Arabidopsis thaliana: one gene and its partners. The protein of the gene in region 1 binds, or shares a complex with, the protein of each later gene. Each region holds a gene or a part of one and is shown on either strand. Other genes may lie near its edges. A codon is read from its position in the direction of its gene.

The links.
Region 2: the proteins of AT3G03070 (region 1) and AT1G79010 are in contact, whole or in part, in a cryo-EM structure (PDB 8BED), measured with the Arabidopsis thaliana proteins. Residues at the interface, in NP_566191.1 of Arabidopsis thaliana: Gly38 (codon at 1,939), Asn39 (codon at 1,942), His40 (codon at 1,945), Lys43 (codon at 1,954), Pro53 (codon at 3,023), Met54 (codon at 3,026), Ile57 (codon at 3,035); in NP_178022.1 of Arabidopsis thaliana: Glu143 (codon at 4,321), Glu144 (codon at 4,318), Arg145 (codon at 4,315), Glu146 (codon at 4,312), Asp147 (codon at 4,309).
Region 3: the proteins of AT3G03070 (region 1) and EMB1467 are in contact, whole or in part, in a cryo-EM structure (PDB 8BED), measured with the Arabidopsis thaliana proteins. Residues at the interface, in NP_566191.1 of Arabidopsis thaliana: Ile69 (codon at 3,071), Ala71 (codon at 3,077), Pro83 (codon at 3,218), Ile84 (codon at 3,221), Glu85 (codon at 3,224), Phe86 (codon at 3,227), Ile87 (codon at 3,230), Cys88 (codon at 3,233), Asp90 (codon at 3,239), Leu91 (codon at 3,242), Lys98 (codon at 3,263), Tyr99 (codon at 3,266); in NP_568550.1 of Arabidopsis thaliana: Pro167 (codon at 6,154), Leu168 (codon at 6,151), Asp169 (codon at 6,148), Cys170 (codon at 6,145), Pro171 (codon at 6,142), Ile172 (codon at 6,139), Met198 (codon at 6,061), Lys199 (codon at 6,058), Arg200 (codon at 6,055), Ser201 (codon at 6,052), Val202 (codon at 6,049), Val203 (codon at 6,046), Asp204 (codon at 6,043), Val214 (codon at 6,013).

What each region holds. Positions count from the first base shown.
Region 1 is NC_003074.8:690,275-699,896, reverse strand, and holds AT3G03070 (NADH-ubiquinone oxidoreductase-like protein), read left to right. Parts: upstream 1-1,732; 5' UTR 1,733-1,827; coding exon 1,828-1,965; intron 1,966-3,004; coding exon 3,005-3,089; intron 3,090-3,194; coding exon 3,195-3,304; 3' UTR 3,305-3,655; downstream 3,656-9,622. Other genes in the region: AT3G03080 (Zinc-binding dehydrogenase family protein), read left to right, coding at 141-318, 561-727, 825-907, 989-1,367; AT3G03060 (P-loop containing nucleoside triphosphate hydrolases superfamily protein), read right to left, coding at 4,473-4,980, 5,068-5,216, 5,456-5,780, 5,979-6,069, 6,300-6,609, 6,703-6,813, 7,088-7,183, 7,413-7,709; CSLD3 (cellulose synthase-like D3), read right to left, coding at 8,268-9,622. UniProt on the Arabidopsis thaliana protein: Accessory subunit of the mitochondrial membrane respiratory chain NADH dehydrogenase (Complex I), that is believed not to be involved in catalysis. Complex I functions in the transfer of electrons from NADH to the respiratory chain.
Region 2 is NC_003070.9:29,721,221-29,731,152, forward strand, and holds AT1G79010 (Alpha-helical ferredoxin), read right to left. Parts: upstream 5,809-9,932; 5' UTR 5,714-5,808; coding exon 5,660-5,713; intron 5,266-5,659; coding exon 5,187-5,265; intron 5,059-5,186; coding exon 5,005-5,058; intron 4,884-5,004; coding exon 4,792-4,883; intron 4,715-4,791; coding exon 4,601-4,714; intron 4,355-4,600; coding exon 4,287-4,354; intron 4,205-4,286; coding exon 4,093-4,204; intron 4,014-4,092; coding exon 3,918-4,013; 3' UTR 3,576-3,917; downstream 1-3,575. Other genes in the region: HAC1 (histone acetyltransferase of the CBP family 1), read right to left, coding at 1-991, 1,094-1,236, 1,339-1,812, 1,897-2,158, 2,296-2,410, 2,571-2,764; AT1G79020 (Enhancer of polycomb-like transcription factor protein), read right to left, coding at 6,062-6,304, 6,391-6,642, 6,716-6,784, 6,871-6,921, 7,106-7,153, 7,247-7,327, 7,429-7,467, 7,698-7,763 and 4 more; AT1G79030 (Chaperone DnaJ-domain superfamily protein), read right to left, coding at 9,702-9,932. UniProt on the Arabidopsis thaliana protein: Core subunit of the mitochondrial membrane respiratory chain NADH dehydrogenase (Complex I) that is believed to belong to the minimal assembly required for catalysis. Complex I functions in the transfer of electrons from NADH to the respiratory chain.
Region 3 is NC_003076.8:14,893,064-14,904,246, reverse strand, and holds EMB1467 (NADH-ubiquinone dehydrogenase), read right to left. Parts: upstream 6,838-11,183; 5' UTR 6,758-6,837; coding exon 6,337-6,757; intron 6,232-6,336; coding exon 5,985-6,231; intron 5,889-5,984; coding exon 5,594-5,888; intron 5,515-5,593; coding exon 5,140-5,514; intron 4,795-5,139; coding exon 3,899-4,794; coding exon of another isoform or gene 3,895-3,898; exon of another isoform or gene 3,813-3,894; coding exon 3,800-3,812; 3' UTR 3,600-3,799; downstream 1-3,599. Other genes in the region: AT5G37520 (NEP-interacting protein, putative (DUF239)), read right to left, coding at 36-389, 676-819, 1,476-1,577; GORK (gated outwardly-rectifying K+ channel), read left to right, coding at 9,364-9,551, 10,933-11,157.

The DNA of each region.
Region 1 (9,622 bases):
AACGTTGTTTTCAAATTTAGAAACATTGCAATGTTTCTTTTGAATACTGTGTGATCTAAGAAATTGTACCTTTATGATTAGAAGTGATTTTCTCTTACTTACAGTCTCTGGTGCTAAAGGTTTTGATGTTTTGTTTGCAGCCAATTTATGGGTTTTCAGTGTCAAAAGTGATAGATTCTGGGCATCCAGATTACAAAAAGGGAGACTTACTTTGGGGATTAGTTGGATGGGGGGAGTACAGTCTTATCACTCCAGATTTTTCACATTACAAGATCCAACACACCGATGTTCCCTTATCCTACTACACTGGACTTCTCGGTATGTTATCTCTGCTTCTCTTTTGTTCATGTATGTAATTCACTTGATAGTGAGAAAGCTGGCTATATACAATGCTTGATGTACCTCTCTCTATGATTATTGGCATGATAGAATGGTCTTAGAAGCTCCTAATCATGTAGAATAGTTGTTTTGGTTGCTAACATATCTAATAACTTGGTCAAAACTCTACAAGTTTCAGTAGTTTACTGGTAGTCTTAGAAGCATCGCTCTGTTTCTGACAGGTATGCCCGGTATGACTGCCTATGCTGGATTTTATGAAATATGTTCTCCTAAGAAAGGAGAAACCGTATTCGTGTCAGCTGCGTCTGGTGCAGTTGGTCAGCTCGTGGGACAATTTGCAAAGATTATGGGCTGCTATGTTGTTGGAAGTGCAGGCAGTAATGAAAAGGTAACCAGAATTTTCTTGGACTCTAGCTATTGATCCATTTCCTTATCAAGAGATTCACTTGTCCCCTTTTTTCTTTCTCCGTTGAGTTTTGTTATAGGTTGATCTTCTCAAGAACAAATTCGGGTTTGATGATGCATTCAATTACAAAGCAGAGCCAGACCTTAATGCTGCCCTGAAGAGGTCAGTATACTTTGAGAATGTAGGAGACAAAATGTGATATAGAGATCTGATTCAAAACTATGATATCTTTCTTCTCACAAGGTGTTTCCCGGAAGGAATCGACATATACTTTGAGAATGTAGGAGGCAAAATGCTAGACGCAGTGCTCCTAAACATGAAACTACACGGCCGTATCGCAGTATGTGGTATGATCTCACAGTACAACCTTGAGGACCAAGAAGGTGTACACAACCTAGCAAACGTGATCTACAAGCGGATTCGGATTAAAGGGTTCGTGGTCTCTGATTACTTCGACAAACACTTGAAGTTCCTGGATTTTGTGCTTCCGTATATAAGAGAAGGGAAGATAACGTATGTTGAGGATGTAGTTGAAGGACTTGAGAACGGACCTTCAGCTTTGCTTGGACTATTCCATGGTAAGAACGTCGGCAAACAACTCATAGCGGTTGCTCGTGAATGAATCAGACGTCTTTAGTTGGAGAATGAGTTACAAGAATTTGTTTAGTTGTGTCGGAAGTTTATTCTTACAACTTGAAAATAAAGCCTCTTTTCATAGGCGTAACTACAATTGCATTTTTGGTTGTTTATTTTGATTCTTTCATTGGTCTATTCTACAATTTTGTACCTATAGTAAATAATATAAACTCACAATTTTTATACGGATATTCTGAGGGATGTTTTTTTTTTTGAAAAACAAGTTCAAAATATTTCATTATTTTCGATCAGAATCAAAAATATTTTCAAAAATGTTCGTTTTTTTTTGCATTTTCCAAGAAATTAAAAAATCGAAGAATATGTGCTTCAAATAAGTGGGCTTATATGTACTAAAGCCCAAATAAATGCGTTGTTTGGTACAGCTTCACGAACAATCTCTCTCTCGATAGATTCTTCTTACCTCTGAATTTCTCGTTGTTGGAACAATGGCGTCGAATCTCCTGAAAGCCCTAATCCGATCTCAGATTCTTCCATCTTCCAGGAGGAATTTCAGTGTGGCGACCACACAGCTTGGCATTCCAACAGACGATCTAGTCGGCAATCACACCGCCAAATGGATGCAGGTAATCTTCGCGATCATGAGTCCTTAGTTTTCTAGCTCTTTCGCATCCCAAATAAATATGTACGAGGACTTGTATCGTGAATTTAATCTGGGAATTACACTAATTTACTCGGGAATTAGTCTCGACGATCTCCCCTAGGGTTAGATCGTGATTTGGCATGTTTACGATTTACTGATTCGGTTTCGTAGTCGATTCATTCTGCTGAAATTGTGTTCCTGTCATATGAACTGGAATTTGGAAATCACAGGGAATTGTTCATTTCTGAAAACTCTTGCTAGTCAGTCTTGATAACTGAAGATATTTGTTTCGATGTTGAATCAGTGGTCTTGATATCTGTTCGAAACTGCTTAGAACTTGTTTTGGATTTTTGAGGACATTAGGTTTACTATTACATGGGAAATTTGTGGTTGACGAAAGAAAACTATCTGACCTAAAATCTGTTCGTTGGGAAACTTAGGCTTCCATTCATGTGGCCATGTTTTTACATGTCTTTGACTATCATCCAGTGCAAAACAATAATTAAAGCCAAAGGGCTTGAGAGCAGAAGAGGAGTAGAAGAAAATATTCTCATTCTTTTCTCATGAGTTGTGCTATCTATATTGCTCATTTTAAGGGTATAACCATTACCTTCATAGCTATGGTCTTGGAGTTAGTTCCTTTCGCTGATGAATTTTGGGCGGTAGAAAATGACGTATGTTAGTTTACTGTTAACTTTTATATTTGTTAGTCAAATCAATAAGTTGGGTTGAGCTTTCTCCTTTATGTTGTCACTACCCTTTGACCAGATCAGCTTACCCTTTTTATCAGTGCTTGAGAAAATTGTGATGAAGAGCTGATTCATCACATACTATTCCTAGTTTAAGATGGCAGCTCTGCTTTCATTGAAAACTAGTGATGTAATCTAGTGAATTTTTTTTGTTTGCTGAGACTTTCAAACCTGTATATATAACATAAATTGCATAGGCTCTATACCAGTCCTTTCTGGTAAATTATGAAGTTTCTGTATCACATTTTGTTTTCTTTTGCCACATTCCTACAGGATAGAAGCAAGAAATCACCTATGGAACTGATTAGTGAGGTTCCACCTATCAAAGTTGATGGAAGGATTGTTGCTTGTGAAGGAGGTCTGTCTCCTCTTCTCCTCAGTCGCTCAAGATATTTGGTTTAGTGATCATATAAATGGGCACAACAGAAATTGATATATAAATTGACTTTTGTCTTACTTGCAGACACCAATCCGGCCCTAGGTCATCCAATCGAGTTCATATGCCTCGACCTAAATGAGCCTGCGATCTGCAAGTACTGCGGCCTTCGTTATGTTCAAGATCATCACCATTGAGGCAAATTCTGAAAGTGAACTGCTGGTCTCTCTCCCCTTTTTATTGCATTTTTAAGTTTGTGTATTGTTTTTTTCTGGTGTGCCTACTACATCTTCAGCTATATTATCTAATAAAGGATTCGATCAAAGTCGGGTAAGTTTGATTTTTGTTTGATCTCACTTCAGCACTTGTCATGTTGTAACATTCAATCTCTGATATCACTGTCTTTTACATGCCATTGAGCTCAAAAAACAGCAATGGCCTTTTTCTGCTACCAAGATCATATGAAAGTTAAATTTTAAACAAATACAATTTATTGAGTTTTTCCCTCTTGAAAATTCGTTAATAAGATAATCTTCTTCAGTTTTTTATAGTGTGGTTATAATTTGATTGCGGAAGTGAGCAAATTCACATAATTCTCGAAAATATTTGAAAGCGTAAGAACTAGACAAATAGTGAGCCCAACAAATATTTACTATGCTTACAGGGCCTATAAAGCCCACTAATAGGCTTTTGAAATCGAATTGCACGTGAGGCGCATGTGCCATTTAAAATTGAAGACGCGAATAGATAAAATATCCTACTCGCACCTGTAGCGCGTTAACGCCACGGAGCCCAAACGGCTGGACTAGTACAGGGATTTCGTCGTTTTTCAGCAAAATAAAAATAATAGGCGCGTGGAGATATTTCTTTTTGTTTTAAACTCATCGCCTGAATCATTTACCGTCAAACAAAGCGAGGTGAAGAAGATAACTATTTCTTTGAAGAAGATAACTGGGTGATGTGAGCACAATCTGATTTGAGTTACTGATTTAACTTTTACAACGTCATTTCCATCTCGAATCCAAATTTGATCAAAGTTTGAGTAACTGAGATATTTTTGAATTTTGAGTATGTATATTTTTCTTTTGTATCTTGTAACCAAAGTATTATTATTATCGCTACAATCTTCAACGAAATATTTAGATATATTTCTCAGATTTATTTAAAGTAGTTTAGTTTGAGCTCCGTCAGACAATTAATTTAAAGCAATAAGACAAGTACAAAACCTCTCCTTAACCAAAAAAGGAGAAACAATAGGAATCAAAATCTCTACTTAAACCTCCAAACCAACATCAGAGATTTTTGTGCCCCTTGGCAAAAGTGTGAACATGATACCATTTGACTCACTTTTGGTATATAAACTCATCATTTTGAATCGACTCCAGCCAATTTCCTTCTCTGTTGATGCTCTGCAACTTTGTAATCAACAACCTCTCTGAAAAGCATAGAGTCCAACACACAGTCCTCACTTCCATACACAGCTGCTTGAACACTTGCCATCAGTTTCGCAATTTCTCTACCTGAAAACCCTTCGGTTTTTGCAGCCGCTTCCTTTAAGAGCTCCTCCGTGACACCCTTTATCTCGATCTTCTGCTGTTCTTTCTTGAAGAGGCGGTCGAACAAACCCGGCTTGCTTGGACCAGCCTCAGCTATGTACTTTTCTAGATAGAGGTTTAAAAGCTTGAACCGCTCTTCTTCTCCAGGTAAGGGGAATTCGAGAACTTCATCGACACGGTCAGCCACAGCTGAGTCTAAGTCACCAGGTCGGTTTGTAGCTAGTGCTAAGACTATGTCTTTGGATTGATCACCCGTGCGGAAGAGAAGAGCATTTAGAGCACTCCTTTGGGCTTCACTCATGTATGTTTTGTTCCTCCTGTTAAATTTCGATGAACACATCAAAACCATAAACAAAGTGTTGAAATGATCAGCCTGTGATTATGATATGAGTATTAGCACTTACTCGCACAAAAATGCATCGGCTTCATCAATGAAGAGCAATAAACCTCTCTTAGACTTTTTGCCCCAATCAAACAGTTCGTGAATCTTTGTAACAGCCTGAGCTCCAAGGGGAGCAACATCTCCACCAGTCATCAGTGCATAATCCAAACCCTACACGAAGTACGGAAGTTAGGAAAGTAAGAATAGATAGGAACAAAACTCCGAGAATCTCATGAGCAACCTAAATCTAAGAGCTCAAGTTCAACTTTCAAATGTAATCATGGAAATCAGCAACCACCATCTTCTGCTCTACCGTCCTAATTCTGTCTGCTAGAGACTCCATGGTCTATTTGGGTGTCTTATAACAATTTTTGTAATAACTTTTTTATATATATGGAAAGAATACATACAGATTTACGAGCCAGCTCTCTGGCCGCCATTGTTTTTCCTGTTCCTGGAGGACCGTGGAGAAGAATATTTCGGAAAGGAGCCTGGTGGAGTTTTGTGTTGGCGGTTGAGGTAGCTAGGTGCTCAATTCTCTTTGCTAGCGGAGGATGCAAAATAACATCACCGAACCTTTTTCCATTTTTGGAAGCTGACTCCTTACCCCGCAATGTGGACATTACACGAGAAAGCGAACCAGACCAAGGGTACTTGCCTCTTGATGATTCTCGGATTAACGATGGTTGTCCTAATATTCTGTCCACATAGCTCCAGATAACCTTTGCACCTTCTCTGCAACAAGCATTCAGCAACCGGCTAAGTCTATATTTCACTACTGTAGAAAAAATGACTGACAGGTAATAGAATCAAGAAATGTAAAACGAGAAATTTGCTAGTCAATGGCGTAAACACTTCCTCAACCCTTCAACAAGAACTCACGATTATGGCAAAAAATATTGTCAACATTCGGACTACATCTCTAGTCTTTACCTCGTTGTGTAGATTCCAGCTGCCAGAGCAGTTACACCCCCAACAGCGACAATCAGTTTATTTTGATCCGTCAGAATAGCACGTAAACCGCCTAGGAAACAAGAATAAAGTGTCAAACACCTGTTAAAACAATTAGTATTTTCATTTATTTATGCAACGTAAAGATTATGAGGTCACACATCTATTCTAATTACTAATTCTTGATACCCGAACATTCACCACACAGGGATTTACAATGTTTAGTTAAAACCTGCCAAAAAATGACTGAAGCCAACAAGAATATAACAACAGTGAGACTATGTATGGATATAAATCTCACACCTCCAATATGGTCGAATGTTGTGTTTATGGCAGCAACCCATTTCTCTCTTTCTGCATTTGCACGATCAACAAGCATTCTCCTGTTTACATCTTCAGCAAGCCTAGCTTCATGGGCTCTTCCTTCCGCTTCTGCTATAGCTTTGACCCTGATGGTCTCACGTTCAATCTCAGCCTTCTCCCTCTCAGTTTGGCGTCTCTGCGCCTGGATCTGTTCCTCAGTAGCTCGTCGAGCTTGTTCCTGCCTAATTGCTGAATCTTCTTGCATTTTCACAAGTTCTTGATTTCTTGTTCTATGGAACTCATTCTCGGCCTGTAAAACGATATACACATCACACAACAAAAGCTGTTAGAGAGAAGAAACGAAGCTAACAGTGTTGAAAAATTGTTTTGAGGATTTACATGCCTGCATCCTCTTTCTTGCCAAGTCATCTTCATAACGGGCCATCTGCGATTTTGTCTGTGCTTGGTGCTGAGCAAGCTTTTTCTGTTCATCATATATTACCTTATGCCTCTCCTGTAAAATGGAACATGTCAGGCACACAACTTTGTTGCCAAGAAGCAGCTAAACCGAGTAATAATATTAATCAATATGTATCATAGTGACCATTGGAAGCAGATTTTGTCACAAGACACTATTTTCAACTTTACTAAGATAACAGCATAATCGTTATGCCACAGTTGCTAACTCATTTCTATTAGGTAGCCATTAGTTGTTAACACAATTGTTCAAGAATATATAAACAGACATCCAAATATTGGTTAAGAAACTTAAAGTTAGATGATCTCACAGTTTCAGCTTGGGCTTGCATAGCTTTAAACTCTTGCGCCTTCGTTGCAAACTCAGTTTGCTTTGTCTCTTCTTGCTGCTTAATACTTTCAAAAACCTACCAGAACCAAATACACAACAACTGTGAGCTTAACCACGATTGATAAACAAACAGAAATAGAACAATTCTGAGATCCAACACAGATGCTACCATTTTCAATCACTTTTAGGTTCATCATACAAATTATAACCTAATTGAAACATTCTTCTGTAGCCTTTCCTAAACCTAAGCATGATTCGATTTCACAAAATTTCTAACTATAGAAAGAGAGAAAAAGGTTCAAGACCTTTTTCGCGTAAGAGGAATGGTTAATCTCTTTCAAGGCTTTAGCACCTCGCTCCAGTGCCTCCGGATCGAAACCACCGGAACTTGTCCTCGGATTATCATTGCGAGCTCGCGGAGGAGCTGAAGATTCTTCACCAGCCAACGACGGTGGAGGAGGAGAAGCCTGCTGCTGAGGATTCGCAGAAGTAGAGAACCCAGAGAGATTGAAGGGACCATCTGCAGAAGCGACTTTAGATTTCGCAAGAGAAGCCGAAGCTGCTAGGGCTGAAATCAAACCAATCGCACATTTCTGAGCCATTATTCCTGGGAAACGAGACTTAGGGTTCTTCGAGATTCGAGAATACTGTAAGAAAATGTGATTTATGTAGAAGAAATTGGCTTGGAGAAGAAGAAATTCGAAGTCGGAATATCTGTTGCCATTAGAAATCTCAAAGTCGACGAGAAGGTTCTCAAGGTTTAGGTAGGGTTTCGGCGGGACAAGTGTTGGATCGGTTTCTGGATAACTTGACCCGATAACCCGACCCGTTTTGTTTCCTTTTCCTTAAAAGGTTTATGAAAGCAAATAAATTAAAACTTAACAAAACTTTGGCACTTGAATTTGAACTGAATAAATAATTAACAGTAGTAGCATAAATAATTCCATCAACAGATAAAAGATTACAAAATTTAAAAAGACAAATAAAAAATGTCCTTTCCCAACCAAATAAAAAAACAAAAAATAAAAGACAATGAGAGAAGTTCTTTGACTTGCTCTATATTTTGGCTCAACTATACTTGTGTGTTTCTTGGCCAATCTCTGTCTCCATCTTTAGAAAGGACTAAAGAAAGAGAATTTTTGAGAAACCAAACCTATGAATCATGGGAAAGTGAAAGATCCTCCGATTTGAGTGGAACCAGCAGGTGGATTAATGGCAACCCAAAGCAGAGATATGGTGATGGCAACAAGTCCAGACCAGACATATACAATGGTCGGAGTCCTTCCTCTTCTTCCCATAAGCCCTTTAGCGAATGGATAAAGATGAGCCAGTACCCAGAAACTGAAGAACACTCCTCCAATCAACTTACTCCACTGCGGAATCACACTGTATATCGTCCTGCTAAACCCGACCGCGATGGCGATTAGGTTCACCATCATGATTGTGATTGGTGGGATCATGAGGGATGTCCATTTCACAATGTAGAGATCCGCAAATTCGTCGTCTACATCCTCTCCTCCGGATTTAGATGTCAATGTGAATGAGATTTCGATTCCGGCAACAACTTTGAGCAGCCCTTGGATAACCGCGGCTAAGTGAGCGCTTGTTCCTCCAATGAGCCAGAACTGCTCGTTTCGCCACCATTCCTCGAGTGAGATTCCTGACCATTTGATCTCGAGGAGAGCGAGTAAGCAGAGCGTAATGGAGATGATTAAGAGGTAGACAAGGAATGTGACATTGAGTGTTTGGACTATGAACTGGCCTGAGAATAGGGAGAGAGCTGGGAGGAAGCAGTAGACTATGAGGAAGAATGATGTGAACGGGTAGATTCCAACGTTTAGGTAAGCGATTCTCTGGAGGATTTTCATTCTCGGGCTAGCAAAGAAGGCATTGTTTCTTGAGAAGAAGATCTCTACCGAGCCAGTAGCCCATCGGAGAACCTGGTGAAGCCTATCCGTCAAGTTGATTGGAGCTGTGCCACGGAAAGCATCCCTTTTGGTCACACAGTAAACCGATTTCCAGCCTCGGTTATGCATTCTATAACCTGTGACCACATCTTCCGTGACAGATCCATAAATCCAACCGATCCGAGATCCCCACTCGGTTTTATCCTCGTACCAACAAGAGATGACGGCTATGGCTTCTGCCACAGTTGATGCATCAAGAAGCTCGCGAGGAATGGTGAGAGCTCCGGGTGGTCGTCCGTTTTGCACAGCTGGGTGATCCGCAAGAGGACGACCTTGGAACTCGGCAACCGGGATTGAATCGATAAGGAAAGTGGAGTTTCCGAATTTCTTCGGAACCAAAGAAAGATTCATCTCTTCATCATCATCTGAGTCACCACCCATTCTCAAAGATCGGTTTTCTTCTGGCACACGGCTTTTCTTCTTCTTGCGAGAGAAGCAGCAACTGCAGAATCCGGGATGGTGTTCTTTAGCCCGAGGTGGATCGAATCCGTACAACGCGATTCTTCTAAAGAGACAACCCGTTCCGACATAAACAGGACCCATCAACC
Region 2 (9,932 bases), on another chromosome or scaffold:
TTTTTAATCGAGCAAGGGACCGTGCATTTGCCTGTTGCTGTAGGTAGGCCTTCACAGGAATACAGACAGGGCAGTTAGGTTCCTTACAACTTCGATGATGATTAATCAATGTCTTTGTGGGGAGGCAACGAGGATATGAACATTGAGGTGCAGCACAACTGTCCATGTGTTTCCAGAGCTTTTGAACCGTAACACAATTTCGATCAGGACACTTCCCTTCAGGCGCTTTGCAGTGGCGAGCATGGCGTAGAAAGAGGAGCCATTTCTGTTGATTTTTGAATCTCGGATCCCGGTTGCCATTTCCATTTCTACAAGTGGTAGCAGTAGGATTTTGGGGATTAAGGGATTCTGATGTAGTCGAGACACGATTTTGACCTATAATTGAGCCTCCAGACATATTATTGGGCTGAGCTTCATCCGTTCCAGACATTCTTTGTCGGAAATCCTCCTGAATGTGCCGTTCGTTCGACATACTATTAGACATTTGAGTATGTTCCTGTGACTGAGATTGCCAGTGACCACGCATCCCAGATTCTGTTTTCACTCCAACAGAGAGGTTGCTAAAACCGTTGACAGAGTCTGAAGCCATACTATGCGGGTGCAACATCTGCTGTATCTGTTGGCTATTTTGAGGAACTGATGTGCACATATCACTCTGACTTGTGACAGGGAGAATCTGAGAACCTGCATGACGGTCTTCTGCATTGTTCTGGTATTGATTCTGAAACTGAGAAAGCTGAAATTGCTCAGGAGTTTGGGAGTGGATAGACTCGCTAGGGTTCTCCATTCCAGGTTCATGTTTAACGTGAGTAACCATATCAGAAGCCACATTATTTTGCCCAAAAGCATCGTGACTTATAAATCTCTGTTGCTGCTGGCTTTGCTGCTTCAATTGCTGTTGATGAAGAAACTGCTGCTGCTGTTGGTGAAATTGATTAGGTTGTTGCTGAAACCGATTAGGCTGTTGCTGAAACTGCTGCTGTTGATGTGACTGCAAAAAAGGTACGAAAGATGATTACAAATCGGTATTCTCAGATTGATGTTTCACTGGTGCACTTTGCTGCATGCAAAGTGAATTCCATGGATTGCTTACCAAAGAAGAGCTAGTTCTAGACACAGCCTGGAAACTTGCTGTATTGGCATTCTGAGTATTTGTCATCATCCCAACAGATGTTACAGCACCATACAAATTTCCCGATCCGAATGGGTCAGAGTTGTTTGTGCCATATCCATCACCTGAAACGGTAAAATAACATAACAATTAAAATATTCTGATGAATACGCACAACAACAAGAGGTTAGAAACTACAATTTAGGGATGGGAAATAAAGACTTTACCCTGCATTCCTGAACGCTGAAGATTATCATAAGCCTGCTGTGAATTTCTGATAGGATTGGTGTAGGATGTACCTGAATCTACGCTTTTTGCATTCATTCCAACACCACCATTTATGGAGCTGTTAGACACATTAGACAATTTTTGTTGCATTCCAGGTCTAAGGCCAACACCCATTTGACTTCCATGGTTTTGCAGCATACGACTATTTTGGCCACCAATATCCTGCCTCAGTTGCTGTTGCTGAGTCTGAGGTACCATCATGGGAGCAGTAGAAAATCCACCACTATTGTTGGAAGCTTCAACACTCAAGTAAGACTGGCCATTATTGCTGTTGTTATTAGTACTACTGTTGACAAATCCAGGGGTAGGCATCATCTGGCCGGTATTTCTCTGGGAGCTCATGGATGACATGTTCCCTCCAGACCCAAGACCAAAGTTACTCGATGAATGTTGGTATCCATTAGACAGGTTACCTGCAAAGAGAAGTAAAGGTGTTCAGAAAAAATATGCGCAGAAAATTTTATGCCCATATTTTATATAAGTTGTAGTGAAAGAACCTCCAAGCATGCCACCAGAATTTAGCAGGTTTCCAGTGTTCATAGCACTAGTTGTGATGTTATTACTTCCAGCCATTGTAGCATCACCTGAGGAAGTAATCATCAAATTTGGATTCCCACCACTGTGTTGTAATCCTGGAGTGGGTATCATTGTTCCAACCGAAGAAGAATTAGCGTGTCGCTGATTGTAGTTATTTAACTGCCTGCCTTTGATTAGACTTGCCAGCCGAGGTTCAAGGGTTGACGGGTTCACGTAATCTTCCTGCGATTCAAAATGGAAGTGTAGCACGTTAACAAGAAATTTCAAGTTAGGACATTAGCCAACAAGCTGGATCTAGTGGCAAAATTTTAAATGCCAAATACGTGCCTATCCTTTCCTTAAGTATATTAAATAAATACCTTTGTGTTAGCAATTTTAAACAGCCCCTCCTCTAAGCGTCTAGCAACATCCATATATTTAGCCTTTGATGCTTCATCAGCTGGAGATGGTTGCTTTTGCTGTAAGATATTGAAACTGAAAAGAAAGAAGAGAAATACACGGATTTGATTGGCGATAAACTGGAGATATTGAATCCAATCCAAAATAAATAGCCGTATAACAAGAGCAAGGAAATATAACTGCAAAATGGTGGGAAGACACCAAAGTCAAAAGCTTGAGAAAAGCAAAGGCTTACATCCTGATTCGCATAGCCTGCCGAAGTTTCAAGATGTCATTGTCAACGGGAGAAACGCGTGAAGGTCCTAAACCAGCACCAGTAGCAGGAGCTGAACCACCACCAACTAAATTCTGCATTTGGGAGTTCCCATTTTGCTGGGACATAGTCCCTTGGTTTGAAACCTGCCCCGACATGTGAGCCTGAACATTCATAGCTACCTCTTCAGTCTCCGTCGCCTTGTCCTAGTTCTTCTGGTAATTAACAGTAACAAACACTGCATAACTTTCCTCTCCTCCAGAAGTCACAGTATCCAAATTTCATCTCCTGATTTAGCACCTTAGAGAATGTCCTGCTAAAAAAACTTGGTGTAATCAGAGAACTGAAATTGTCACAATTTGATCTCATATTAATTGGGAGATAGTATCAATCATAGTATCAACTAAAGAAGTAATTAAACCCCAAAATAGTTACCAAAAATGAACAAAATGATAAACCCTAAAAATTCACCCCCAATCTTTGAATTGATACAAAAAGGAGTAAAATTTGGCAACAAAGTGGAGAAATTTGACGGAGACCAACCGGTTGCTACAGATTGTACGATGATTGGAGTCTGCACAATGAAACAAAGCCGGTGAACAGCCGATGCGGCACGTGTGAACTCAAACCAAAAGCGAGGTCAGAAATTAGGATCAAGCAGTAGACAAATCCCAGAAAGAAGATGGCAAATCAAAAGCGAATGAATTCAGGTTTTCCCAAATCGGGGGATGTTCTGGGCTTGTAGGTTCGTCGAATTTGGGATTTTTCTTTGGACTCGCTCGATTTGGGGATTTTGTTTTTTTTTTTCTTTCCTTTCTAGGGATTCGTTGTTTTTCTAAAATAGTAACTCAACAAAAAATACACATTAAAATATTAATTTTGCTGTCTGAATACGATAATTGGCGCAACCAAAAGGCAAATAAATGAAAAAATCGACAAGCATTATGTTTAGATCGGACAGATTAGGATAAACTATAAGCATATGATCCTGTCCGTCCGCCGTAAAAAAAAAAAAGACATGATCTTGTCCGTCCGATCAAATATTTCTTAATGTACAGATATACCCTTGTAGCTTAAGACTTATCTGTTTTCAGTCTTTGACCAAATTAAATGCTCTTTCTCCGAACCGAAAACACCTAATAACCGGAACTCATGAACCGAAAATCAAAGTCAGGTTGGTTACAAACAATTCAATTACACAGCACAAAATCTGGATTACAAAAGAGTTTTCACACGCATATGATCTCGTCTTTATTTTCAAACAGAAGCAACGAAAATGTTTCCCCGGGAAAAACAAGTTGAATGAAGCAGAGACTGTTGTAGAATGGTTCAGCGGTAGAGACTCTCCGACCTCAGATTCTCAGCAATCTCTGTCTCCCATCGATCTCCATTCTCAAGAAGCTTCTCTTTGTCATAGAGAAGTTCCTATCATAGAGAATATAACAAAAATTTCAATAAGCATGCCTCGAAAATTATTAGGGTCTAGAAAATGTGAAAAACAGACCTCGTGTGTCTCGGTTGCGAATTCAAAGTTAGGTCCTTCAACGATTGCATCAACGGGGCAAGCTTCTTGGCAGAAACCACAGTAGATGCATTTTGTCATGTCGATATCGTACCTGTACGATACAGCTCAAATCATCATGAAAGGGTAATAAAGAAAGCAGATGGTTGATAAATGAGAACTAAAGGGATGATGACCTAGTGGTTCTGCGGCTTCCATCTTCCCTCTCTTCTGCCTCTATTGTGATTGCTTGAGCTGGACATACCTGATGAAAAGGACAAGTATCCCTCACAAGAATTACAATCCGTGGTGAACTTTTATACACACTAAATAGATCATTGTCAGCTAATATGACCATTTCATCAGAACTCTAGAGACTAAACAGTAAATATTACTCATACTCAAATAGCTTTCCTAATTACTAAGATGAATTTGATAGACTCAGAGTACCATATCAGAACAAAGAGAACGTTAAATTAAATGAAGGATTCATATCGATCTCAAAACTCACAGCTTCACAGAGTTTGCAGGCAATGCAGCGTTCTTCCCCGGTAGGATATCTTCGAAGAGCATGTTCACCACGGAAGCGAGGGCTCAGAGGACCCTTCTCAAATGGATAATTGATCTGCATACACGAAAGAGCTTCAGTAACACAGATTTCTTTCAATCTAAGTTTGGAAGACTAGAAAAGATATCACTCACAGTAACTTTTGGATCAAAGAAGTACTTGAGGGTCAGCGACAAACCGCGGACCATTTCTGTGAGGAACAGGGTGTTTATGCTCCGTTCAAAGACTACAAATTTGAGAATATCAGGAATCACTAATACTCGGGGAGGAAAACACCAAGGAAGATAGACGTACAAGAAAAGAAGAAAGGAGAAAAAAAGTAAAATTGTCTAGATCATATGGATTACCAGTATTCCAGTCCTTGGAGATTTCCTTAGAAAGTTGCTCTGCTTCTTCATCATCTGAATATTACATACGCAAACCATAAGTCATATATGAATCAGAATCTCGTAATACAAGTTGGAAAAGGGGTAGATTCACAATTAAACCTGATTTACCAAAGAAAACCAAACAAGAGCAGAAAATATACCTTTGTTGCTGCCATAAGATATACCACGGGACTGCAGTCTAGACAGATGAGATCCCTGTAAAGCTTGCCCTGACAAAACCTATCAATGTCGAGAAGTAATCAGAGAGGTATTCAGAACATACACACCATATCAAGCTAATGAAAGGATTAAAGCTCGCAAAAAAAAACAAAAAAAAATTGACTTGCGAAAAGGCTTTCGTCACAAAAATTAAATGCGAAAAAGAATAAGGAAACCATAAGTAAAACGAAAGCCCTTAAGATGAACCATGATCAAATTCAAATCTCCCTACATGATTTCATCGATCAGCTAGATAAAATCCAGAATCTCGTCGACACAAAACAAAACACAGAGAGTGAATAGAATCATCTTAAGCTCCCAAAACTCCAGGAGACATTCCCATTTCTAGGCATTCAAATAACTCTAACTAAAGGACACAAAATGAAGAAATAACAAGAGCGAACAAGATTCATACGAGATGTCGAGCACGGAGAGTATTCAGTGACCTGCGAGCCAAAATCGAAGCCATTGATGGAGCACCCAAATTCCGATTTAGGTTCCTTCCTTCTTCACTGCGATTGATGAGCAAACCTGAACTTCCGATTAAAATCAATAAAGAGCCCTAAAATCCTATTTTGTCCTTTGAGTTGAAGATATTATTACAATTTGGTCCCTGGTACAATAGTTTTTGGTTTTCCAAACCGCCGATAGAACCGGATTTTGAATTAAACAGATTCTTTCCTTAACCGAAAATAAACAGAAATACACACAATAACCAGTTAGTTACAAAGTGCTAAAACTTATTTAGCTGAGAATCGTTATTGCATACACCATTGGTGATGGAAAATTCTTTACAAAGCAAGATTGTGAAAATATCTCAATCGAAGTTGGTAGACCGGTGATTTGGAGCAATGTAATAAGAGTTTCCACAATTAATGTGAGATTGCATCAACGGATTCCATCTATCGAAAATAATTCGGCCACCACGCCCAATCCTCCCCTGAAACCGACTTGGAGGTTGACCTGGTGATGAATCCGGTGTTGGAGGAACAATCCCTGCAGCTGCCAGTTTATCGGGAACCAGCGGTTTTGTGAATAGCATTACCGGTTCATTAGGATCCTAAGGAACAAAATCATTACAGGTTTGCTTAAATGATTGATTATAGTAGCTAGAGAGAGCTTAGGTGTTGTAAGAGAAGGTTTTACCAGTCTGTGAAGCCATCCATGCTGTGACTGTCGTCTTCTAACTTCTTGTTTGATGCCTCCGGGATGAGATGCATTCAGATTTAAGTTGGTGAAACGAGAACTAGGAATAACCGCAGGTCTTGTACGTACACGAGTACTGGTGTGATCATCAGAGTCCATCAGTTCATCATCGCTTGAGCCAAATTTGTATGATGTTGTAGTGGGTTGAAATCCAGGCATAGCCAAGCTATCTTCCAAGAGCTCTGTTTCATGCTGCAAAAAAAAAAACAATTTTAGACCCGGAAAACGGAAAACAGAGAGTTTTAGAGGAAGTAGAAGTAAGTACCCTGTATTGGAGTTGGATTCTCTGAAGGCTAACCTCACTGTCCATGACATCCCTCTTCTTCTCTTCTCTCTACGGAATGGGTAACATCAAATTAGCAACTTTGGAGAATGCAATCCGCTTGTTAAGATAAACACTAAAACTGTCATATAGAACACCTTAATGAGAGCCTCCAGAATGCTCTGTGCTTGGCCTAGATTGCGTCTAACCTGATAATAACATATCCCATGTATTCAGAATCCAATAGAAAACCATAAAAGAATCACTAACAGATCATTAACAAGCAGAAAAAACAATGTTGTCCAGAGAGAAACTAAAAGAAGGCACTGTAAACGTAAATTGCTCAGATTTCAGGAAATTAAAGAACCATAAAGGTTCAGGTGCCTCACTCACCTGTCGAAGCTTTTCAAATGACTGCACATTGTTTTCTCTCCTCTGCATCTGAAGATGAAGTAAAGCCTTATCACTATTTTTCTTTCTCCAGTTGGATTTTAATAGAAAAAATGTCGCACATGCATAAAAAAGACAGCCTACCCTTCTTGTGTGGAGTCTGTGAACTTTCTCCCTTGGCCTAAACACATTATAGGGATTGGTGTCATTAACCGGTGGGGGAGGCTGTTCCAAACAATGAAGCAAAACATTAACTAAATAATCGAGGTAAGATGCCTTTCCAACATAGGCCTTGATCGTTTCAAATGGAAATAAATAATACAAACCTGTAAACGCCGTAAGATAGGCTTCTGCCATCTTTTACGCTAAGTTCACATAAAAAACAGAAAACGAAACATATGCATAAGTATTATCAGCCAAAGGTACTCCATATGTGGAACTGCTTTGTCATTCACAAGAACTATGCATAGGTTTCACGAATCAAATAATCTATTAAACCGTCTTATCTCACCCCGTAAAATAAGATCATTAACCTATGCAACATAACGTCTGTATCCAGAAAACTTGTAACAATCACATAAGTTTTATTTCAAACCTTTTCTTTCCAGTAGTTGAAGATCGCCTGGAAGGTTCCATAATTAATGGACAGTACTTGCAGCACCTGCAATAAGAATCAGAACTAATCATTCAAATGTTTTGTACTGCTTCTAAAATGAGTGTAGAGTTATAATAACAAGAGATATATAATCCAAAAGTAAAGGTATACATCAGAAGCAGCATCAAACTGCAAAAGCACAGGAACTGGAGAGCCGAGAGTAGGTGTAATAACTCCTGCTCTTTCCCGCGTCTTGTGATCCAACACCTCTAGTTTAAAAATGATGATCTCAAGCCTGTATCAAACAATTTAACACATTTGTGTTGTGCATCAAATGGAACGATTCTTCTTTCGGTATCTATTTCACTAAGAGTTTTGGTTTTAACAATTTTAGCAGAATCCAATTTCTAGTGAATAAAGCAAACTAATTCAGCAACAGTACAAAACTAAAAGACGCAGAGAGTCTGAATAACCCAATCCGCCTCAACGTTTAAAATATCAGCATGATGCAGCTACAAGATAACAGAAAAATACTGATGATGATGATAAATCCGAAGAAGAAGAGCTATAAGGATAGTTGGATTGGTTACTTTACTTTTCAGGTGGAAGTTCTTTCTTATCCTTATCAAACTCATAAAGCCAGTCTTCATCCTCATTGTCAAGATCATACTCCACAAATTCTCCAAGCTCAGACCGAGCTGCATAAACAAACAGACAAACTTATAGTCTGCACATAACAAAGAAACCACCTTCATTGCCAATGAATACAAAACCAAATCAGAGGAAATTGGTACCTCCTCTTGCACGTAGATAAGAAGCAGGCTGACCAAAAGTCGGAGAATAATCCCTTTCATATGTATCCACAATAACAAATTGAGGTGTTGGTATTTCTGAAGCCGGTTTCTTACTTGGCACTGGAGCCACCTGATAGTAACAATGGTTAAAATGGTCGAATGTTTCGAAGTTAGAACAAAATGGAAATTCACCTCATTGTCAACTTCTACGGAAGCAATACGCAGCAACTGAGAATTTCTAGTGGTAGAAGTTGGAGTCTCATCATCTTCAAAGTCTTTAAAGGATTTTAAAATGGGAAGCTTCTTATGAATGTCTAATGGCCGTGGCCGGAAAGAGAGCCTACTCATATTACCTTCTTCCTCACTATTCTACTTACAAGTGTGCCTATAAATACAGATGATAGATATCTATATATATATATATATATATGTATGTTGCTCCAATAAGACAGGACGAAGCTTAATCTGTAATACTCAAATAGCTCAGAGTGCCAAAACTCGAAAAAAAAAGGTTTACACGAAGAGAAAACAAAACAGAGACAACGAAATTAATCGAACACGAATTTTAGGGTTAGGGTTTTTGTTTTTGAATCTGAATGGAACGAGAAAAAGAAAAATCAAATTAAATACCCAAAATTTCCAAACCTATATCCCTCTTCGTCGTCAATTTCCCAGATTCTAGGGGTTTTTTTTCCTCTGCCGGGAAAAATTGCGGCGGCTACCCAAAAAGGAAACTCTTCCGTGATTAACCCAGAAGGTCAAAATCGAAGCTTTGAAGGAAATTAAAAAAAAAAAATATTGGAGGTCGACGTGTTTGATTCGTCAGCAACATACAGAGGAGGGAAAACTTTAGTAAATTTGGGTTCGATTTCTCAATTTTTATTTTCTCATGTTTAAAAGGGACAGAATTATTAAAAATTCAAACTTTATAAATTTAGTAACCATTAACATTTCTTTTTTAAGCTTCTTCTTATCAAATGAACCACCTTTAAATCTACACATTGATTCAGAAAAAGAAAAAAGAAAAACAGCTTCTTTAGTTTACCACAATGAAAAATCCAAAGATTCTTTTTTTTTTCTTTTGGAAGAACAATCGACAGATACTATTTACAGAGAAAGACTCCCCTAAAAAAATTATGATCTTCAAGGCTTTGGATTCACCGTGGTGAGCTATATGAAAATTTTGTTTATGGTTTCGATCAAATTTGAATCAAGTGGAAGTTCTTCGCCACTGTTTCTTGCTTTTCATCTGGCCCAACTTGAAAGGGCTCCAGCTTTTTCTACGTTTTGAGGTTTCGCAGAAGAGACCTGAAGCAAGAGCTTGTTGAAGCCATAGCTCAAACTCTTCTTCGTCCTCATCCATCATCTCCACATCTAGATCCCATGGGAACCTACTTGAGTTTGATCTCTGTGTTGTCTTTTCTAACCCAACCATGTTCAC
Region 3 (11,183 bases), on another chromosome or scaffold:
CATTTTCAGTTTTACACAAAATTATATTCTTTCTTTTACATCTTTCCAGGACCTCCAAAATATATGATATGTCCAACCGGTAGTCCTGAATCTAAATCCTCGTATACTTTATAACTATGATTGTTATCCGAGAATGTCTCTATATTTTTTACCATCTTATCAACCTTAAAATTCTCATCAACTAAAGTTATATTACACACATGTGCATCGTCCACTGGATCTAACAATGGAAAATAACCATTTCCCATACGAGGACCCGGCAGAGATGCGCTATATACTTCTCCTCCCCACTCGACACTGTTAGCCAAACTCTGTTGAAATATGTTTGCTGGCCAAAACCCAATTTGTATTCCTCCAAACTCGAGCCACCAATTACCATTTGCTTTGTCCTTTGATCAACATCCACATCAAAGCAAAAACATATTAGCATTATTATATAATTACAAATAGAACATGTTATATATATTGATAAATACTGTTAAAACCACACATACAACTTCCAAATAAAAACAACTGTTGAGTTTTATGTTTTATGCGTGTGCTATTGATTTAATACCTATATTTATTTGTTTCTCTCTTTTTTACATACGTTCTATCAAATTTGTTTGAATAATAAGAAACATAATAACAATTTAGTAAGTTATAGAAAAAGAGGAAATGAAATAAGTAGCAAACCTTGAGTAATCCATATGTATCATATACTATTTGTGTAGAACCACGGACACCAGGAGGACCTCGAAGCCCACCAAGAGGAATATCTGAACGGACCAAAATGATTCCAGCCGGACACAAGCTGTTATAACACTGATTTTGACCTGCCTATACAAATTTTACATGTATCGTTATGTCTAGCGTATAAATATCTAATACATCGAATAATTTTACAAAATATGATGGAGTGATTTATAGTATTGTTTTTTTTTATGATAAATTACGCTACAAAATATTCATTTAGAAAACATTGTTTTTGGTTGCGTTGAACATCATTTTTGTTTGTTTCAATTGTTTGAAATATAAAAAAAAAATCAATATTTAGAATGAAATTATAAAAATAAAATATAATGTGAGGAATTTTGTTTTCTTTTGTAAAGATATATAATGTGTGTTTAATTTATCTTTTAAATTTTGAAGTAATTTAGGCAAATGATTAAATTTTATAATCATTTTACAATAGCATGTTATATAGTTAAATAAGTTTCTTGGAGCTGTCAAAAAAAAGAAAAGTTAAATAAGTTTCTTGGTATTTGAAGATATATAAGTAATAAACTTACTTTCGTATAAACATAACTTCGTGGTTGCATGTCAGTATATAAAGCCGGATTTACCTGAAATTTTAATAGATTTATGTTAATAATATTAAAACTAAGTGTAGTATATTTCTAAGTATTTATAATAAAACCAATTTATTATGATTTATATTTTTATACTTTTAGGCCGCAACTCTAATTAAACATAAAATGTTGAAACAAACTTACAGTCCATCCAGCTTGAATAAAATCGTCTCCAATCTGAACGTGCATACGAGAAGAACTAAATTGCGGAGATCTAACTTCAGGATCATGTACAGAAATAGCCATCGATACTCCACTATAGCTTTTCTTTTCTCCTCTCTTGGTTCGAGCAACTGCAAACTAGTCATCATAACCATGCATAATCAACTCTTATTTTGAATTTAATAGAATTCTATATATTGAGCAAAATAACAAAATTATATATTTTGTATCTTTTTATAAAGATGACTGCACGGAGATTTAAAAAGTTATATTTACATTTTTGAAATTAATTTGTTTCTAACAACAATAATTTAGAATTTTAAAGGTAATTAATTAAAACACACTTATATTTCTTACATAACTAAAACTTATACCATAAGAAAAAAATAGTTAAAACATCTTATAAAACATAAGGAAGGGTACTACTTACATGATGTTCGACATTATATTGATTATAAGTGAAGTTCCAAGAACCTTGGGGCTTAGATTTGTTGGAATACGAATTTAATCTCAAAAGTTTGTCTTTGGTGACTCTTTGTATGGGTATGGTACCAATGGGACACCCTACACCATTTTCCCACAAGAAACCAAATTTTTTGTCATTTATTTTTCTTGTTCTTGAATTTTTACGGGATGATATCTGATGCATCTACATTTACAAAGAATTTTGTATTAGTGATAAATAATGATCAGATTCACTTATATTCAATTTATTATATACTTTGTAGTTGAGCAAGTGATTTTTCATGGTCTGATCGTCAAACGCTGGTTGTTTGTAAAAATCCACACATTCATATGTATCTCCATGTGTAGTCTATCATCCATAAACAAAAAGTAGATTATAAAATATTTTGTAAACTTCACATATCTCTACAAAATTCAGATATATATATATATATATATATATGTATAAATCAAGGTAACGAGTGCAGCTCTAAGAAAATAAGATGAAATTAAACGGACTTTGATGATTTTAGCTGCATGTTCGTCGATGACTTTAAGTTGTTCTTCCATTTCAAATGAGGTGAAATTTTGCAATGTTTCTGCATCCACAAAATGATTATTGAAACTCGATATATCGCTGAAACATAGGATATAACCTAACAAGAAGAACAACTTTCCTGGAAAACTTAATTTCATATTCTCTAAGAAATAAGGTTGGAGTGGCAATCAAAGAGTAAAGAGAGATTTATATAATAATATCAAAATAAATGAGATAAAGAGAAATATAAATAACATTAATATTTTCTAGATACACATGATTTCTTTTTCATAAAATTTGAACTATATAATTAACTCATTTTTTTATTAAGTGTTATGGTACATGATTATTGTTATTACATGTATTGTGTATCTGTATAAAAATGTGTAAATCTAGATTACTAACTTATGAACTTAACTTGGTATAATTATTTTATTATATAAACTTTGGTTTTCAAAATTAGTAACTCACATGATTGCGACACGGGTAACTTTCTCGATTAGATATCAACAACTGTTTTATTTTTTTGTTTTCTTTTACAGAAAATAAAAACTAATTAAAAGAATATTTACATATACTAATTATTCTTACCCAAAAAAAACTAACAAAATGTTTTTTACATGTGTTATTGGTCAACAAGATTTGGACATGTATCAAAAAAATCTTATCCATTTAGCATGGATTTTAACCAATAAACAATGTGTTGAAGTTCAAAAAAAAAAAAAAACAGGTTATTTAAAATTAATTAAATTAAATAATTTTTTTGCTTATATTATACTTTTAGATATAAGACCTAATCAGTAAGAAAGCAATTTGATAATAAAAAGTTGGTTGTTTGAGAAAGATAAAAAAAGTTGGATGGATTAATTATCCCAGCTATAAAAAAAAATTGATTGGTTTAGGTAAGTTTTTCTAAAATAAATTTATATGTTACTTGTGATTGTCTTTCATAATCTATCTGAAATTTTCTTTATGACCAATCACAAAGTTGAAACTGAAATGATTTTAGGTAACATAACTTGTCAAAAACAGTTTAGTTCACAAGTGATCATCTCACATTGGAAACCATCTAATCCTTTCAAGATTTGCATTATTTGTAACAATCACAATGGTTAAGAACAAACGATAAAAGTAGAGATTGTATATATCGCCATGCCTCCAAATTCATATATGCAAATGTAAAAGGGAGTCCTAATAAGAACAATACAAGATGCCACAAAGCATCCAATTAACACTGCAAAGTTTTGAATCTAACAATGTGCTTATTGCAAATTGCTTATAGATTTCACCGCAAGCTAAACCCGAGATACAGTGATACTCAGGCTTAAACAAAAGGTCTATAAAGAGGACAGCAAACGAAGAATCAGTATCTTTATTTTTGCGAAAAGAGAGAAAATGTGAAAACCCAAGTTAAAGCTCTCACTTTTTCAAGAGCACGGCACTGCACTGCGCCATGATCTTTGATGCTCTTGTGATCGAGTTTGTCATGTAAAAGTTCTCAACCACGGTTTGGAACGGTGTTGTGCTCATTGCCTCCTTGCACTCAGGCTTCAATGAAGGCCCAAAAGCAGCTGGCTCTCGCTCATCTGTGTGGACTAGATTTGGTGCAACGCTCTTTATTCTTGATCTAACACCTTCGATTGAGTTGTATGGAAGCTTCACACCCGAGACCTCGGATAAGGCTCTCACAATCTTCCAGTCATCTCTTGCATCACCAACTGTTGGAACAGCTGGAACAGTCTGTTGGGTAAATCCTTCAGTATTTTCATAGGTTCCTTCTTTCTCAGTGAAGGCCGATGCAGGGAGAATTACGTTTGCACGGTAAACCGCTTTGTCTCCATGGTGTCCTTGGTAAACCACAAAGGCGTCTTTAGGAATCTTGTCAACATTTACATCGTCTGCTCCCATCAAGTAGACGAATTTTGCAGACTCGAGGGCTTTGGCGGACTGTTGAATGAGACCAAGATCAAGAGCAGCCGCTTGGGCAGCATACTGAAGGAGAAAGTTGAGACCGTTCCAGTCTGGTCGGACAACATTGTTGGCTTGTGCAATGGACTCCACAGAAGAGAGGATAGCATTTTTATCAGTTCTGTTGAAGAGCCCAGCACCAACAATGATTGCAGGGTTTTTGGCGTTCTTGAGAGCCGTACAGAATGGATGCCGTCCCTCAGCAATTTCCTTGAGAGTATCAGGCCCAGTCCCGAGGTGTTTGCAGTCGTAATTGAACTCTGCAGGTGGACCAACATATCCAACCTTGGCATTTGATGCACGGACTGTCTTGCAGATCCTAGCATTCACCATTGCAGCTTCCACCCTAGGCTGGTAAAAATAGACAAAAACTGGTGAATGTACTGCTAAAAAACCTTCACAACTTTGATATCTGGAAGAGCAAGTTTTGCTTGATCTAGATTGGTCTGGATCAGGAATATTCAATACAAGCGAAATGTTAACATCTGATCTGTTTTTTAGAAACTTAATTTTGCTTGTTTCTCCTTTCTATTTGCCTCTGTATTCCAAATTATGCACAGAACCTTAAGCCACACCACTAAATCAAAGTATCAAACTACACAATTTGGTTTTTCTTATGTCATTGTTCCAAATACAGAGCGGTCTGTCTAATCCGGTACCAGAAACCATACAAAAAAGACAGGGTGGAAATCTCACCTGGGTACCGATGAGAAGGAAGAGATCGGCGTTTTCAAGTCCACTGATGCTAGTGTTCATCAGATAACTGTATCTAAGATCAGCATCAACACCAGCAGCTGTTCCTTCACACCATACATTGTCTGAGCCCATTCTGTTAACGAAGTCCTTCAGTACCATCATGGATTCCGCATCAGATAGCTGACCTGCTACTCCAACAATCTCATCTGGCTTCACCTGATGAATGATATCACCCACAACAGCCAAGGCATCACGCCAGCTCACTGCCTTGAATCGTCCATCGGAATCTCGGATCATAGGGTCGCTCAGCCTTTGTCTTTTCAGGCCGTCATAACAGAATCGGGTTTTGTCAGATATCCATTCTTCGTTTATATCCTGAATAAGAACATTCACAAGTTCAACATCCAGCAAAATACTTTTAAAAATAGTGTTTTTGAACAAAAGCATTACATACCTCATTCAGGCGTGGAATGATACGCATTACTTCTGGTCCTCTACTATCAACACGGATGTTGGACCCAACAGCATCACTAACATCAATAGTTTCTGTTGCTTTCAACTCCCAGTTTCTGGCTTTAAAGGCAAAAGGCTTTGAGGTCAAGGCTCCAACAGGACAGATATCAATAACATTTCCAGAGAGTTCACTGGTCATAAGCTTTTCAACATAAGTTCCAATTTCCTCTCCACTACCACGACCTAGTATACCAAGATCCTGAACCCCAGCAACTTCAGAAGCAAATCGTACACACCTACAAAAACATTATACATACAAAACCTAATCAACAGGATAGCGTATCTATCACATTAACTAAAACATCACACTATAAGCAAACTATATTAGTAACCTTGTACACTGGATACACCGAGTCATAACAGTCTTCACAAGAGGACCAAGATTCTTATCAACAACAGATCTTTTCATCTCAGTAAAACGTCCTCTATCAGATCCAAAAGCCATAGACTGATCCTGAAGATCACACTCTCCTCCTTGGTCACAAATAGGACAATCCAAAGGGTGATTCATCAACAAAAACTCCATCACTCCCTCCCTCGCCTTCTTAGCTATCGGTGTATCAGTCTTAATCTTCATCCCTGTTACAAAAACTCTTAGCAATAGCACCAAATCCAAATATATTCCACCAATCAACGATCAAAATCAATCCATCAGCATAGAAATTTTCCTGGAATCGAACTAACCAGGAAGCGCAGGCATGGCACATGAAGCTACAGGCTTAGGAGATTTCTCAACCTCAACAAGACACATCCTGCAATTTCCAGCAATAGATAAACGAGAATGATAACAAAACCTCGGGATATCAACTCCAGCGACCTCACAAGCCTGAAGAACAGTGAATCCTTTAGGGACTTTGACCGCGTAACCATCGACAAAGACCTCGATCGCATCTTCAGGATTCGAGAAGTGGACGCGTGCTCCACCTACAGGGTTTCTAGGAGGGAGAATCTGTGTCGGCGGCTCAGGCTCAGAGACAGCAGCGGATTCAGGAGATTGGAGCTCTGGTTTTGAGACGATTGTGCGGAGGAAGAAATTGGAGGTTTGAGATTGAAGAAGACGTGAAGCTGGTCGAATTGTTCGAGAAGCTAAGATGCCTAAACCCATGGCGTTGTGGATCTGTATCGTCTTCTTCTTCTTCTTCGTCTTCTATGTGTGTATTTCTCGATCTTGTTGTGAGAACTCCTGAAGCATTTGTGCGAGAGAGAAGGAGACACGAATGAGTGAGTTTTGGGCTTTATGGGCTTTTATTTTGGATATTATAATTGGCTTATGAATGAGTGAGTTTTGGGCTTTGTGGGCTTTTTCTTTTCAAACTGAATTAAGTTAATTTTGGGAGATATAGTTTAAGAGTTTTGATGATCTTTCTCTAATTCACTTAATGACATTGAGTTTAAAACAATCTTGCTTCTAGTTCCATACAACATATTAGAACCTCTAGCAAAATAAACCTCTAATCAATCATTAGTCCTAGAGACTTTTAGGTCAATGTACTAATTGAACATTTGTATATTTCAGATAAAGACAACTTAAAATATGGTTATAAATGATGACAATTTTAAACATCTCAACGTCGTCTATTTAAATAAAAGGAAAGAAAATATTGTCAACACCTATGCTGCATCGGTTAAGGTTTACGTGTAAGAGTTAGTTTATTTTCCTCGTTTGTTTAGGTTTACGTGTAAGCATCATTATCAGTGATATTGTTATTAATCTAACCTTTGCAATGACAACCAAAAAAAAAAAAAAATGAAGTTTCATAAGCTTTGATATATATTATCTTATCATTACAGGCAGACATGATAAGTATAATTTAACTCGTTTAATTTGATAGTTTTAGTTATAAATTTACATAGTAATTCGTTATAATTTTAATTATGGGTTTGAATGGTTACGGCGGTTCGGGCGGACAAAACCATCAACGGATCAGACTGTTTTTTATTTACCATTAATCAATTATAGTGCACAGTGGTCCGGACAAAAAAAAAAGAAGAAAACCGCAACAGATCATCTGTGAATCATCCACGAACTATTTTTACATATAAATAAACTTGGTCCACAGCGGTTTATTGTCCGCCTCAAAATAAGGTAGATTAAACCGCATACAAAGTATACCGCTTTGTCCACTGCATCCATTCAAAACTTATAAAGTTATAAGTTATAGCTAATAAATATGACACTTTTTCAAATTGTTATAGATCACTTTAAGAGTGATTACATTCCTCTCTTGTTTTTTTTTGTCAAACAGAGTGATTACATTCCTTTCTTTTTTTTTGTCAAACAGGGTGATTACATTCCTTCTTTTTTTTTTTTTGTCAAAACAGAGTGATTACATTCCAAGGCAAAGAAACATAAGGGAGAACCACTAACTACAATAAAAATTGTTGGGTTAATGGCAAAAGAAAAAAAAGAATTAGTGGTTCTTCTATGAAAAAGAATTGCATCCAATGGAAAGAGGATGTGACCGAGTTGATAAGATATGAAACACAACATATATAGCTTTTTGTTATCAAACTATTTATCGTCTCGTATTTGTTCTAATCTAAACCGAAATACTAATATTTTAAGGAAATACTTTGCGAAAAATAAATAAAAATTCTCACCTTTATTCAATCAAAGCCAAAAATGAAAAAAAAAAATAGAAGCAAGACAATCATATTCATACAACTCGATAAGGTAGTACCTCTAAAGTGCAAAACGAAAACAAGAAATATCTCTGCTATCTCATTCTCGTCAACTAGGAAACTCTGCATAATCTCTCTTTTACACAATGCAAAGAATAAGGTGAAGATGAACTGATTATCTCTAGCGTACTATGAAAGTCAATATTTAGATGCAAATTAGGTGATTTTTATTGTCGATATTCTTCTTTTTCTGGACACGTCCTCATATTCGTGTATATTTAATTTCTTCTCTTGGTTTTATACAAAGCCGACCATTTGGAAAATTTAAAACTAAAAATCTCAAAACCTGATGTAAATTTTGATTTTACTTTAAACAGAAATCCTACGTTAAACATATAGGAAATGCTGTTACACACCCATTAATGTCTATAACTAGTACATCAATTTACAACAGATTTATTGTCTTAAAAAAAAATAACTCCCCCACTTACCCCGTGAATGTTCAAGTACACTAGTCCAGATTAACTTAAATTCGATTATGCTAGAAATGATTCACAAAAACCGGTTTAGGGAATCATCATCCAGATTTGGAGCATCGTAATCTTTTGGTAAATTTTTATTAGCCGTTCGTACAATTCAATTCCAAATTTTAATTTAGATGAGATTTTTTATATTAAAAAAACAATGATATATGTTCGACAATCGACATGTTCTGATGTCCTATATAAATTCGGTCCTTCTAGACAAAACCTTACGTTATACACTTCAACTAATAAAGAGTCCAAACCAAACAAAAAAAAAACAGTAGTTTCTCGACAGAAACAAAATCAATATAGCTTTAACATCACGAGAAAGAAGAACTAAAGAAGACCAAACAAAAAATAATTTGGAAAAAAACAGAGAAGCAGCTCTCGTGATCTTCCCGCCTTTTCTCTTCAACTTGTAAAACATTACAAGATCTATCTTCTACCAAAAAGACGAAGTTTCGAGTGTCAGATTCAAGAGTTGAATCGGGTATTAAACTCTGTTTTTCTAGATCTTTGTGTCGAAGAGATCGCCGGAGATTTCATTTAACCGATTCTTGAAAACATGGGACGTCTCCGGAGACGGCAAGAGATAATAGATCATGAAGAAGAGGAATCAAACGACGACGTTTCATCAAGAAGAGGAAAACTCAGTTTAGCCGAGACGTTTCGGTGGCTTGATTCATCAGAGCATCGGAGAATTGAAACCGATGGTCATAATGATTATAAATACATCATTCATCCCAAAAACAGGTTCTTTCTTTTTTCTCTTTCTTCATCATGCACTTGAAGAGTTTCCTTTCTATCGGGAGATAAATACGTAGAAAATACTTTTCTTGAAACCTTCAAAATATCTTCTGTTTTTTTTTCTGTAACTTCAGAAAAAAACTTTATTCACCATACCACTTCAAAAACTTGTCTCCCTAGTTTTAACTTCGAATAATACAATAATAGAAAATTCACCATTTTAATAATTATCAATCACTAAAACTCTTATCGTTATTTCTTTCTGCTCATTTTTAAGGCTGTGTCACCAATCTAATCTAATATTAGTATCACTTCAATCTAGTTTAAATATTAATATTTATGTCAAGGATTTTTTAAAACAACTAAATGATTTAAGGTTCGAAAAATTACGATAATTAGAATGGACAAATCCGTTTACAGTTTGGATTGCTTTTTATTTACCGTTCATAAAGTATAATTTATAGTAATACAAAATAATAAAAATAGAATCCGTCTACAATGGACTAACGATATATCTTTTTTACGTAAAAGTGAATTTGGTCTACAGAATTTATTGTTCGCTCTAAAAATAAAATGGTCTAATCGCTTAATTCGTATCATCCATTAATAGCCTTAGGATTTAGATGAATAATCTTCATCACTTATCAAAAGTAGATATTAGATGCTAATCAGGTGATTTTGTTGTCGATATTCTTTTCATTATTATTTACTAAGAAAAAAGAAATTGGTGGGACACTTCCTTGTGATATATTTCTTCTCTTTCGTTGTCCACTGATCACCTCAATCTAAGCATTTGTTTTATTTGCAGCCGACCTATTGAAAATTTAAAACTTAAATCTAAAACCAAATTCCGACCAAAACAAGGAAAAACTTTAAATCTATCTTTAAATAGAATCCTACGTTAAATTGCACCAGGAATAAAAAAAAAAATACTACGTTAAACAACTTGAATCCACTAGAGGATACTGTTACACTCCCATAAATGTTTCACTAGGGTTATATTAGTAATTATGCGTTGTGACAGAATCATCGAAGATCGGATTATTAATTGGTTCCACTAAAGCTGCCGTAACCAGAGGCCACACGTGGATATTTCATCCACCTGTTCTTCTAAGCATAATAACATTAACTATAAAATAACAAAACTATACTAGTGAAAATGTATATTCAACTTAGTCCAGCTATGTCGATCTTAAACAAATAAAATTTAAAACGTTGTTGCTTGCACTTAACTAATAACTATAGTATTATTTTCATTTGTCTCCTTCCCACGATTCCGTTTAGCTACATTACCAATTTGACGAATCAAGTATAAGCCACAATCTTTACATTTTCAAGAATCTTTGATTAGACCTGAATTAATGAAAAGTGAGAAGAAATTGATCAGGTGGTACAAGGCATGGGAAATGTTTATATTGGTGTGGGCAATATACTCCTCATTGTTCACTCCCATGGAGTTTGGTTTCTTCCGCGGTCTGCCTGAGAGACTCTTTGTACTTGACATTGTTGGTCAGATCGCGTTCTTGGTCGATATTGTTCTTCAGTTCTTTGTTGCCTATCGCGATACTCAGACCTACCGGACTGTCTACAAACCAACACGTATTGCTTTCCGGTCAGTTATATATATTAGACTCTTAC